Drosophila melanogaster: one gene and its partner. The gene in region 1 interacts genetically with each later gene. Each region holds a gene or a part of one and is shown in the gene's direction. Other genes may lie near its edges.

The links. A genetic interaction does not mean that the proteins touch.
Region 2: of Zyx (region 1) and dco, changing one suppresses a phenotype caused by changing the other (phenotypic suppression), as found in Drosophila melanogaster (one study listed by BioGRID).

What each region holds. Positions count from the first base shown.
Region 1 is NC_004353.4:1,061,991-1,066,787, reverse strand, and holds the start of Zyx (zyxin), read left to right. Parts: upstream 1-1,786; 5' UTR 1,787-1,965; intron 1,966-2,406; 5' UTR 2,407-2,543; intron 2,544-3,868; exon of another isoform or gene 3,869-4,110; intron 4,111-4,797. Other genes in the region: apolpp (apolipophorin), read right to left, coding at 1-848, 903-932, 1,605-1,680.
Region 2 is NT_033777.3:31,055,163-31,062,789, reverse strand, and holds the start of dco (discs overgrown), read left to right. Parts: upstream 1-1,579; 5' UTR 1,580-1,713; exon of another isoform or gene 1,714-2,325; 5' UTR 2,326-2,415; intron 2,416-4,147; exon of another isoform or gene 4,148-4,162; 5' UTR 4,163-4,250; intron 4,251-4,861; 5' UTR 4,862-4,938; coding exon 4,939-6,261; 3' UTR 6,262-7,627. UniProt on the Drosophila melanogaster protein: Serine/threonine-protein kinase which is involved in the circadian rhythm pathway, viability and planar cell polarity.

The sequences.
Region 1 (4,797 bases):
TTTTTTCACATAGTCGCCAGTTGAATCTACGAGATCAGATAGAATCGTTTTGAGGGCGTTAATATTTTTGGAGGTATAGGTTTCTGGTCTCTGAAATATTAGGCTTCTGACAGTAGAACCAGTTCCTGGTGAGTTTGCCTTGGTACCGCTTGGATTTTTCAGTTTTAATATTGTGACTACTTTTGCACTGATATCAGAGTTTCTTTTAGTATTTCCAATAAACTTATATGTTTCTGTCAGCTGAACATTTTCAATTAAGTGGTTTACAATCCTGGACTCCTTTATATAGTTTGCCTGCAACAGCAGGCTAGACGTAATGCCAGCTTTTTCGTTAACTTTGCCGGACACCAAGCCACTGTTTATCTGCTCGCGATGCGAACAGCTGTTTAAGTTCCGCGCCTTCGTAATTATATTTGCGTTACCCACTTTCGATGTTGATGTATGTGTAGGGCACATGCCGAAAACGTCAACCTCATGTTCCGCTTCTATTCCCGATTGAAGCAATGATACAACTGCGCGCTTAATATTCAAAGAGTAGTCCAAGTCGCTGGAGTCTGAGCAAATTTGTGGCTCTAAAATTCCACTTACCAGTGTAAACTGAACTGGCTTCTGAATGCTGTTCAATATCTTTTTCTCCACAGACTCTTTTGTATTAGTTACCTTAACGGAACTTAACTGTAATGTGTACCCACAGTTTCCTTTCGCAAAAATTTTTGCAGATCCGGACACTTTAAGACTTGTATCATCTGAGTCGTTCGGAACGTCGCTACTCGCTCCAATAGTTAAAATACTGTCGAAGGAATAGTCATAGTAGTTGCCGGGTATGTACTTCAAAAGTCCATTGTCAGCTGTGGCATAAAATTGTTTAGTATATAAATACATACTTTTTTTGTATTACTTACATTTTGGACATCCTAGATTGCAAGCGTTTTCTAAAATTAAAAAGAAAATGTTTGTATAGAATGAATTAAGGAAAAGTAATCTCCAAGTCGCCAAATAAATATTAGTATCACCAGAAAGAATTTTAAAATTTGGGTTCCCCCTTTACCACTTATGTATTTACCTGAACCATCTATAAGGTCTATAAATCGTTATCAATGATTTTGAGTTTTAAAGGTGCAATGTCCTCTAATTTTATATGTTTTGATTGATGGGACTCAAACGATTTTTATGAAATATATGATTTTTTAACGGAGCTATTGGCAAAAGAATTTCTCTTGCTATCCGTTTTTAACAATTTACTGAAAAAGAATCCAGTTGGACATTGCGGTTTAACTGGCAAAAACAGCATTTGTCAAACTTTGATTTTTTTTTTTTTTTTTTGAATATTCCAAATCCTTATAACTTTGACTTTTTTGGAGCAAATTTGAAGTTTTGTATTCTAATAAATTTTATAGTATTATAGTCAATATAATATAAAAAGTGTAATTTTGTAAAGTAGAGAAAATCATTCATAATTAAATCTCCTGTAAGAGATTTAAGTAGTTAAACCATGTTTTTACACGATCGGCTCATTTATTTTTGATTTAGTTTACATAATCTATATCATTCGATAAAAATCAAGATTTCAATAATTTATGGTTAGCTTAACTTGTAGCACTTACCAGCATTTACAGCAATTGTTAAAAGCACAGAAGCTAGGATTCCAATCAAAGCGATATTGTATTTCATCCTGGCCATTACGCTGGGCCCCTTAGGGATAGCCTGGGAATAGCAAACGCCACAATTTGTATCACATTTTTATTTTACTACATGTATTTTTTACCTTTACCAACACTGGTCCAATTTCACTTTGTATATACTTCTTAGATTAAGAAACACACAGACCATCCGCGAATTAAACCGATTCGAATACAATGAACGTTGTCTACGAATTAAGCCGGATTACGTGAAAACACTCACTTTAAATACCTCAAATAAATCAAGAACTCACACATCTACAATTGTGCCACATAGTATTTAAGTGTATGTCTTGTAAATAAATACAAATACAGCGAAACAAGTACAGATGAAGACACATTGTGAGAGACATGCATTTAAACGATTCTTTATCACCAGCGATGGGTGCTCAGGCCAAAGCCGAGTGTATTTAATATAATCTCATTATAATCGGACTTCGACATACTCGACCCTAGCTTAGTACCTTTACCTACTCTCAATTTTCATCTAATACATAAGACAAAAATAAAATAAAGAATAATTAAATATAGATATAATTAAATAAAAATATATCGCTTTGCATAATACGTGCTCAACTTACAATGGCTGATATAAAATATAGAATATATAGAAAATGTAGACGCTATAGTACCATTTCCCGTCTTTCACCTACATTTTCTCGATATACCAGTGGAAAATGACCAGAAAAATAATAACATGAAAAAAAATCACAAAATTTTTTTTAAGTGTGGGCGTGACAGTGAGCGACGTAAAAATCGGTAGATTGTAAAATCTGATTGATAAATCTGACTGATAACAAAAATGCAAAATATCAAACATTTTTCAAAAGTGTGGGCACGGACGGACATGCCCAGATCGATTTGGTAAGAAATCCTGCTCAAGTTTATATATATATATATATACTTTACAGGGTCGTTTATGCTTGCTTCTAAACTTGGTTGTTTTGGGTGACCACCCCCTTCTGGCCATCCTACCAGACCTATTATACCCAATTAAGCATTTTAATTTACACTTCACCGCATTTTCTGGCAAGCCATATGTTACCAAAACCACCCACAGTCTCCATTAAAAATGTAACTTAAAAGCAAATATTGTTCGAATCACTCTATTACTTTAGTAGTACAAAATCCTTTCATCTACCTTTTCAATATTTTAAATATGGCTTTGGGCTAATAAAGTAATAAACAAATCGCAAATTACGTTTTCCTCTTAAAGGTGTTGAAAACTGTAAGAAATGCAAAGTATAATTGTGATTATAAATGTTGAAAACTGATATTTATATACTTGACAGTCTCAAAAGTGTGTAAACTTGGAATTTGTTGTTTATTTTCTTGTATAATTAATATTTTTAATTCGTTTTTTGATTCATAAGTAAAATAAATATTGATTAATTATATTTTAGAAAAAAATTGCGTTTAATTTAAGCAAAGAACCCTTAGTTTTTACCTTTAAAGTCAAAAATTCAACTTATTTCACAGTGTGTAAACAGTTTCTTGACAAACTGTATGTGCAAATAAGAAAACTAGTTGTAACTCTAAAGCAATTATGTTTTATGTATAGGTATTGAGAAATTCGATGTAACAATTGTTATCATTCCAAATTTAATGTGAATGCGCAAGTACACACATACATACATACATATATGCATTTGCAGAGATTGTCACTTGCAATCCATGTTTGCACACATCTGTAATGGAATTTGTTATACATTTTTATGCCCTTTTTTCATATAGATGAAAGTATGCTTACAAATGCAAGCATAGGTACATAGGTATTTAAAATATGCATACACATATTTACACATGTATATTTATTTGATTTTGAACAGATGTATAAAATATGTTTATATGAAAGTTCGTTCCTGAATTGCAGTTAACGACTGATAAGAAACTTTAATCTGTAATTAAAAGTTGCTGGAAAGCAAAACGCTGCTCGATAAGCACGCAGAAAGGCAGCCTGCGTGATCGGACAGAAAAAATTACAGTTCGAAAGAAGTTTACTCTTGTATTGTTCCCGGTTAGTAAATAAATCATCGTAAACGGAAGTCCACGCTTTGAAGATGATCACTAATAGTGCGTTGTGACAGCAGGAGACCACTGTTTAGAAGCGTAGAATAGGATGTCAGTTACGATTGTCTGATTACAACCATTTAAATCTTTTTTCTTTAACCATTAAAAAGTTAGATTACCGTGCCCACATTTTCTGAAAAGATTCCGCTGATGAATTGAGCTCTATGGCCGTACATATGTGAAGTGATTCCAAGTCAGCTTCCTTTTAAAAGTGCACCTTTCATGATAGATTTCCCATATTTAGGGTTTTTATACCACTTGACTAAAAAGGTATTTGATTAATTAATAATTATTTTGGCTCCTAATTATGTGGCTCCTTAGAAATCGGTCATTCCCCTATCCTTTACAATACTCCTCCACCGAGCTTAATTTCGCTTCGATTGGGCCAAACAATTAGACGATTGGGTGTGGTGTTCAAAAATATGGATATCGTTATGGTACTTATTTACAAGCAACTGTGGTTTGCAATCATTTTTATATTAACGAGGAACTTTATTCAATGAAATTAATATTTATATTCAGACCTCCACGGTATTTAATGTGAATTTCTTACATGAAGATAAGAAGAGAACAGAATTTTCTTCTTGAATATGAAGTAATATGACTTCGCATTTACATTTACATTTATTAGCAAATTAGCTGAACCAAATATCACGAAAAAATAAATTGAAAGAGCCGCACCAGATTTAATTTATTTTAAAATTCCTTTGTCTGGGAGAAGAACAAAAATGCAATTTCGGATGATGTTGAAACGAGATTTATTTCATAAAGTTAACTTATAAATATTTTTAATAACAGTGGTCGAGTGAGCGAATTTATCGGAAGCCACCTACATGACAGCCATTTGTTTTGTTTGGGCCCAAAGGAAATATTATAAAAATTTGAGTTAAAAATTTGTTCAGGGGTTTATCAATTATTGATCAGTTTCTGGAAAGCGGTGGAGTCGATATCGCCGTTCATCGTCTGTTTTGCCATCCGTTCGCTTCTACACAAACTTGTCTCACTAATTATCCCTGAATGAAACTTTCCCATAAAGTTTTCCAGTGAC
Region 2 (7,627 bases), on another chromosome or scaffold:
AAAAAATACAACAAAATTAGGAAATAAATTGTCTTAGTATCCCAATAATGTGGCATACTTTTTTACAGTGTTCTTTGAATGGATCATTTACATACACGCGTCTCGCTCGGTTTTTATTGCTTCGCACCTACATATTTGGTTTACTTTTTTCGTTATTTATTTGTTGGTAGTTGACCATCGGTCGAAATAACGACGATTTTCATTCGTCGGCGATCGCACGTCTTTGCGTGTGTGAGTGGGAAAGATATGCTTTGAATTAGTGTGTGTGTGTGAGCGGTTAAACGAGTTGTTTTCTCGTTTTACTTGTTGTATCTTCAATTGCCTCGTTGGATTGCTTTGTTTTCTCTTTTTCCCAGCCAATGGGAGACAAAGGCGGGTTTTTACGAAGATCTTGAACGATTCACCAATAAATTGAAAATGGAGATTTCTATAGTTGCATAAAAAAAATGCATTCTGGCTAATGTATATAAATACAGCAATGGAAAATTAAAATCGTAGGCAAGTGCAATTAATGTGATTTATTTTGTCTATATTTCATTTTAAATTGCCAGCCCCAATATCGAATCGTTACACTCTTTTCACCCCTTTTTTTGTTATCATTTTCGAGTGATTGCTTATCTACCCTACCCCCACTTAAAAAGAAACACACCTTGGCACATACTCCCAAAAAAAAAAAAACACATTTTCTCATATATGCATACATAACTGGATCTGCTTCCTTTTTTTATGTCATCGTTTCTTGGGTTACACAGCCGGAAAATGCACGATGTGAGGGTAAATGGGGAAAGCGGTTGGGCGGACTAATGGAATTCACACGTGTTTTGCTTTATTCGTATTGCTGCAATAAAAGTATACGTTTCAGGTATTTCGATACATCTGTGTAACATCAAAATTGGCATGCTACCTATAACTGCAAGACATGCCAATGAAATCCATTTTCAATTTCTATTTACACGAGAATTTGGAGCACAAGCCTGTAAAAAGAGTTAACAACTTTTCTTAAGAACATTGCAAATTAAGACATAAATTTTATTTACATATTATTGAGTTATCAAATTTGTATATTAGTATAAATATCATTTCAGAATGATTTTTTTTTTTTTGTATTGTTTATTGTATTCTCTTTGAAAATAAAATTAAGCAGATGGGCCTTTGAATGCATAATTCAAAAACTTTCAATAACTTTAGATATTTTCAATTGCATTTCTGAAATAAGGCGCCACCTTTTGTTTCGGGCGCCACCTGGATACCACTTTCGCCAACTCATCCGCTAGGTGGCGCAGCTCAAAAATATTTTTCGTCCATCTGGCAGCACTGGGTCTATGTAAGAACTAGTGTGCCCATATAACAAAAACAGCGTTGTCAACTTGGCTATTTCACAGCTTTCCAGTTACTCGAACTTTGAACTTATGGCTAGCTGCAAGGATATAATTTCGTTTTTCTTTTGATTTTCCAATACTCTTGCGCTATTTTCTTAATGTGGTACTTCGAAACCAACTTTGGACTATCTTAACTTAGTATATGAATCACAGTTTTTCACAATTACATATCTTCTAGACATTCGCTGAGGAGTAAATACCAGATGGTAATTTTCTTCATTATCGGCGCGGTCACACTGCGAATATCAAGATGGCGTAAATTTGTAAAAAATCGTCGAAATCTATGTGAAATAGCCAGAAAAATTGAAACGAAAGCGCAGCGTTGATGCAAAACGTAAGTGGTCAGTAGCGTTTCGGATCGACAGACCCGTTTGCGAGCGAAAAAGCGGCGGTTACCACGCGCAGGAAAACTCGAATTTCCCAACAGCATTTCAGTGCTCATTGAGAGTGCGAGTGTGTGAGTGAGTGCCCTCGTCTTTGTGTTGGTGTGAAAATGCTGAAGCAGGAGGGATAGCAACGTGCTCGCGGTAGAAACCGTGCGAGTGCGGGCGGGACGACTAGTGTGCACGAATCTATTGCCAGGGCAAACGACTCGCATAAGTTTGGTTTTTTTAATAAGAGTCCGAGTTCCGTTTGGTTTCGTTTAATTTTCTCGAGTTGATTGGCAACAAGATGCTAATCAATGTGGCCATAAAATCAGAGAAGAACAGCATAACCGACTCGAAGATAAACGATAAAAATAACTGAAATATGGCAGCAATGCAGTATTATTAAAATTATTGCATAAAATGCGCTTGCGTGTGGCCCCAAAAAGTGCGACTGTGTGCGTGTGTTTGTGTGCGACTGTGGCAACTACAACAAAAACAACGTCTGGGCTCTAAAACAAAGAAAATGAAAATTATTGTGGCAGAATCAATCCAATTAAAAAATTCGATTTCGATTTCAGTCGAATTAGAAGAAGGAAAAGCAGCGTCGCCAGCAGAGGAAGTGGGCAAAGCGGAATAGGAAACAAGGAATATAAGAAAAACAAGCCACGGTAAGTGCGGAATTTGTTCCACTGTGCGTTCAAGTTTCCCTTCTCCACCCGCTATCGGCTGCTCCTTATCAGCCCCGTTATTCGCAGTGCATTCGTGGAGTGCCGTTAGTTTTCGGAGGCCATTAGCGTTTGACAATTAATTGCAAGTTTCCTTCCCCTTCTGAGGTTTCCCCGTTGGTTTTGCTCTGGTTTTTGGTTTTTCCATTTGCTCTTCCCTGTTTACTTAAGCTTTTTACTTTTGTGGCGCCTGCTGGAACAACTGTTTTTTGTATCTTCTTTGTTCTCCAGTGCGTTTTTTTGCGGAAGCTTTTCGGCAGCCGCCAACGCAACGTGCAGCTGTTTTGCAATTGTAATCAATTCGTGTTTACCCGCTGGTCCGAAACAACTGCTGGATACCCTGGGAAATATTTAGTTACCAATAGGAAAGACCGCGTTTTCCCTGCTAGCCTTCCAGTAAACAAATTAAAGCTCCTAAAATTAATACCACATTTCAATTTGACTTACAGTGCTTATACAGTGATTTCTTTCTGTGTAGAACATGGGAGATACAAATAAAAAACGGTACATTTCGGTTAAATAAATCAAAGCCAAGGCGAAAACAACAACAAACACAGGCAGGTTTTGAGGTTAGAACCGCAGAGTGAGTGATAAAGAGTCGGGAAAAGGAGGAGAGAGAGAGAGAGAGAAAGAGAGAGAGCGATCGAAATGCGTGAGCGGTAAAAGAAAGCGCACAGAATGTGGGAAAGAGGAGTGGGAAGGGGTTAGTGAGTGAGAGCCGCCGAAAACAATTAAACTAAATTTTTGTGATATTTGACCGGCAAGTGAAAACTTTCGGCTTGTTGCTTCGTTTTCTGACTTCCATGCGCTTTATCTTCGCTATTTGTTTGTGCTTTCCACCACTGAAAGTGTCATTTAAGTGGCATTTTCACAGTCGCTGCGTTTTATTTTACTTCTCTCCCTTTTGTCGCCGATTGTTTACTCCACGCATACACAAACACACGTCTCTTTTATCTATTTGTTGTTAATCTCTTCGTTGTCTTTTCCTGATTGCTGATTCACCTCCATGTTTCTGGTGTCGTCACGTAAAAAATACACTTGAAAAAAAGAATTATATCTATTCAAGGATGTAAAAGCACTACGGCACATTTGCTTTATTTTATAATAGTACAATATAATATTAAAATGACTAAAACAATAATGTGACGAATGTCAAAAAGTAGTGCTATTTTGCTCTGTGCATATAAATTATCGTTACTCATCACTTATTAAATCTGTTGTTTTCCCCATTCGTAATCAATACACACAGCCGAATGCAATGACGCACTCACTCTTAAATATAAATATACGAGATAAACTTTTACTTTGTGCGAGGTTCGGGTTCTTATCATTTTTGCCCACTGTGCATTTGCATTTCGAATTGCTTTTGGTACGCTTTTCTCTGCTATTTTTGTGTTGTCAACGTAAGCCAAGCTTACTTCTCTCCCGCTCTCTCTCTCTTGTTTTATTCTTAGCTAACGGTTTTCTATTTTCGATATCGATTGTTGCCGTGCGTTGTTTTCATGTCTGTGTGCCACAATCCTTATCACCACAAACAAAAGCGAATTCTGCACGTTTTTCGGGCTTACGCTGCAGATGCGATAAAAACAGGGGATTACTCTCTATATATAAGTGATCGCGAGACGGGTCGAATTTCGATTAACCATGTTGAGGATCTAAAAAAAAATTAACTTAGTACCTCCTATTACAGAACCCTTCGAATACAAAGCCATAAGCGACTGCCTTGAACAAATCGGAACAAGAAGAAGAAAGGAGCTCAGACGAAAGGACAGTGCCAGGTGAGAAAAGTGGAGAAGTGTTGGAAAATACTCACGAAGCTCCGTTAGCTCTCAAAATTAGACTTTTAGCAAACTGTACAAAACAGCAGGGTTGTCATCACGTGTCACAATATAGTGTCAGAAGAATCAAAAGTTGTAGCAAACAAAATCCGACGAATATTTTATCACTATCGCTAACAAGGCGTTCGATATTGTGTTGTTGCTTGCAAATAATCTCTTCTAATAATATCACACATTGTTGCTAGTGGTCAATAGCCGAATTTTCGAAGTCACTTGATTCATATTTACTCGTAAAAACCTGTGACGCCGCTGCTATTTCTATGATTAGTCAAAGCAACTAAGAATACTACGAATATTTACATTCTGATCGAATTCAACAATTTGCCTGCATCGTAGCAACCTTTCAATATCCTTTCGCGATTACAAAGTAAAAGTTTTAGTCCTTGGCGTAGATATTTAAATCTGTATAATATTTTAAGCGCAGCTAATCTGAACTGGGATCGATCAATTCGTGTAGCGTGTAGTATTATGAGTAAGAAAAGCGTACAGCCTTCTTTTCGAGGCAATGTGTTGTAAAATTAAAACTAAATTTCAATTCTCCGGTCCCGCAGAAAGGCAACGCAAATCCGAGGAACCCGAGGAGTCCGAACTCTACCACACAGAAACCCACAGAAACAGACGTAACAAAATGGAGCTGCGCGTGGGTAACAAATATCGCCTGGGCCGCAAGATAGGATCGGGATCGTTCGGCGACATCTACCTGGGCACCACGATCAACACTGGCGAGGAGGTGGCCATCAAGCTGGAGTGCATCCGCACCAAACACCCCCAGCTGCACATCGAGTCAAAGTTCTACAAGACGATGCAGGGTGGCATAGGCATACCCCGCATAATCTGGTGCGGCAGCGAGGGCGACTACAATGTGATGGTGATGGAGCTACTCGGACCCTCGCTGGAGGACCTCTTCAACTTTTGTTCACGCCGCTTTTCGTTGAAGACGGTTCTGCTGCTGGCGGACCAGATGATCTCCCGCATCGATTACATACACTCGCGGGACTTCATCCATCGCGACATCAAGCCGGATAACTTCCTCATGGGTCTTGGCAAAAAGGGCAACCTGGTGTACATCATTGACTTTGGCCTGGCCAAGAAATTCCGCGATGCCCGGTCGCTGAAGCACATTCCCTATCGGGAAAACAAGAACCTCACGGGCACTGCCCGCTATGCCTCCATCAACACACATTTGGGCATTGAGCAATCGCGTCGTGACGACCTGGAGTCCCTGGGCTACGTCCTAATGTACTTCAATCTGGGCGCCTTGCCCTGGCAGGGCTTAAAGGCAGCCAACAAGAGGCAAAAGTACGAGAGGATCTCGGAGAAGAAGCTGTCCACCTCGATTGTGGTGCTGTGCAAGGGCTTCCCCAGCGAGTTCGTCAACTATCTGAACTTCTGTCGCCAGATGCATTTCGACCAGCGTCCCGATTACTGCCACCTGCGCAAACTCTTCCGCAACTTGTTCCACCGTTTGGGCTTCACTTACGACTATGTGTTTGACTGGAACCTGCTTAAGTTTGGCGGACCTCGCAATCCCCAGGCGATTCAGCAGGCGCAGGACGGAGCGGACGGCCAGGCGGGTCATGATGCGGTGGCCGCAGCAGCGGCGGTGGCAGCAGCGGCAGCCGCCTCCTCGCATCAACAACAGCAGCACAAGGTCAATGCGGCGCTGGGTGGCGGAGGAGGCAGTGCAGCGCAACAGCAACTCCAGGGCGGCCAAACGCTGGCGATGCTGGGCGGCAATGGAGGCGGTAACGGCAGCCAACTGATCGGCGGCAACGGACTCAACATGGACGACTCGATGGCGGCCACCAACTCGTCGAGACCGCCGTACGACACGCCGGAGCGTCGGCCTTCGATACGGATGCGGCAGGGAGGCGGTGGTGGCGGCGGTGGAGTGGGCGTAGGCGGTATGCCGAGCGGCGGAGGGGGCGGTGGCGTGGGGAACGCCAAATAATATTTTATCGTTTAGGTTGCGACGCTGGACACGACACAGTAGACAAACAACAACAGAACTCAACAAACTATACATGTAGTATATATAGTTATATATACCTAATATATATAATACTTGCTTTATATATGCGGTAAAACACGTTGAATGTATCCAAGCGGCAGGATGACCAGGTCCCTGCCAGAAACGGAGGACAAGAGCAGTGAGAGAAGAAGAGCAGAGCATAGCAAAGCGCAGCGCTTTTCTTTTTTTGTGTGTACATTTTCGTTTGTTTTTTGACATTTTGGTTTCTGCTCCCAGATGTTAGAACGTTGAGCGCGCTTATTATTAATTAACTAGCCTATGATTAATTTAATTTATACTATTAGAACATAAACGATTGCAACCTGGCTGCAAGAAACTGCAACAAACCGCACTGTTCAATTGATTTGAGATCCCTGCCTGAAGATTGGCCAATAGATCGGCGGTTGATTAGGGGTCCGCGGAAGGGTTTGGGAGGAGGGTTAGCAGGACACGCAGGCATTTAATTCTGTTTTGCATTTGACTATTTGCTCTTGGCCGGCTCAACTTTTTCTTTGTTAACTTGAAGTCCCAGACCAAATCAGGCAGAACATGCAGAACCGATCATGAACACATAATAACTCGATTGTAAGTGTAATATTTGTGTAAAAGAAACAAAGGACACCGCGTTCAGCGAGTGTCCCTAACCCTAGACTATAGGCTCTAGCTCTAGCGAATCCAATCCATACAAAAGCATATGCCACACAGCAAGGCACCCACATTGTAACCTAAGTTGATGGTAAAATGATTGCGATTACCACGTGCAGTTCTCTAGCTTTAAGCAACGCTCTGACTTATAAGGCCCTCCTATGTTATATTATGTAACCTTCTGTACCGCCTACTCCCCTATCTATATATATATATTTATATATATATATATATATATATATATATATATATATATATATATATATATATATATATATATATACTTTCGTGGTCTGCACTTTGCTGCCTGTGTTCATATATATCTTTCCGATTTTTAAACACTTAAGCGCGCATTTCCCGAGCGGTGGGCAAATGGGATGCGAGATGTGGGAGCTGGGAGTTGGGGCAGCCCTTTGTTTACGCAACAAAATCATGTAACTAAGATAGAGAGCATATAAATTGCGTTAGACATACACAACAAAACAATTGCATTAACGTTTCGATTTAACAATGTAAGTAATGGCCCTGCGGAGGAAAGTTACACAACGCTAGCTAATAAACTATAGCTATAATATGAAATTTGTTTATAAGTAATACCAAACCGTAAAATAAAAAAGGAAAATGCAAAAAAAAAACTTAAATTCTAAATGCGCCAAGAGAT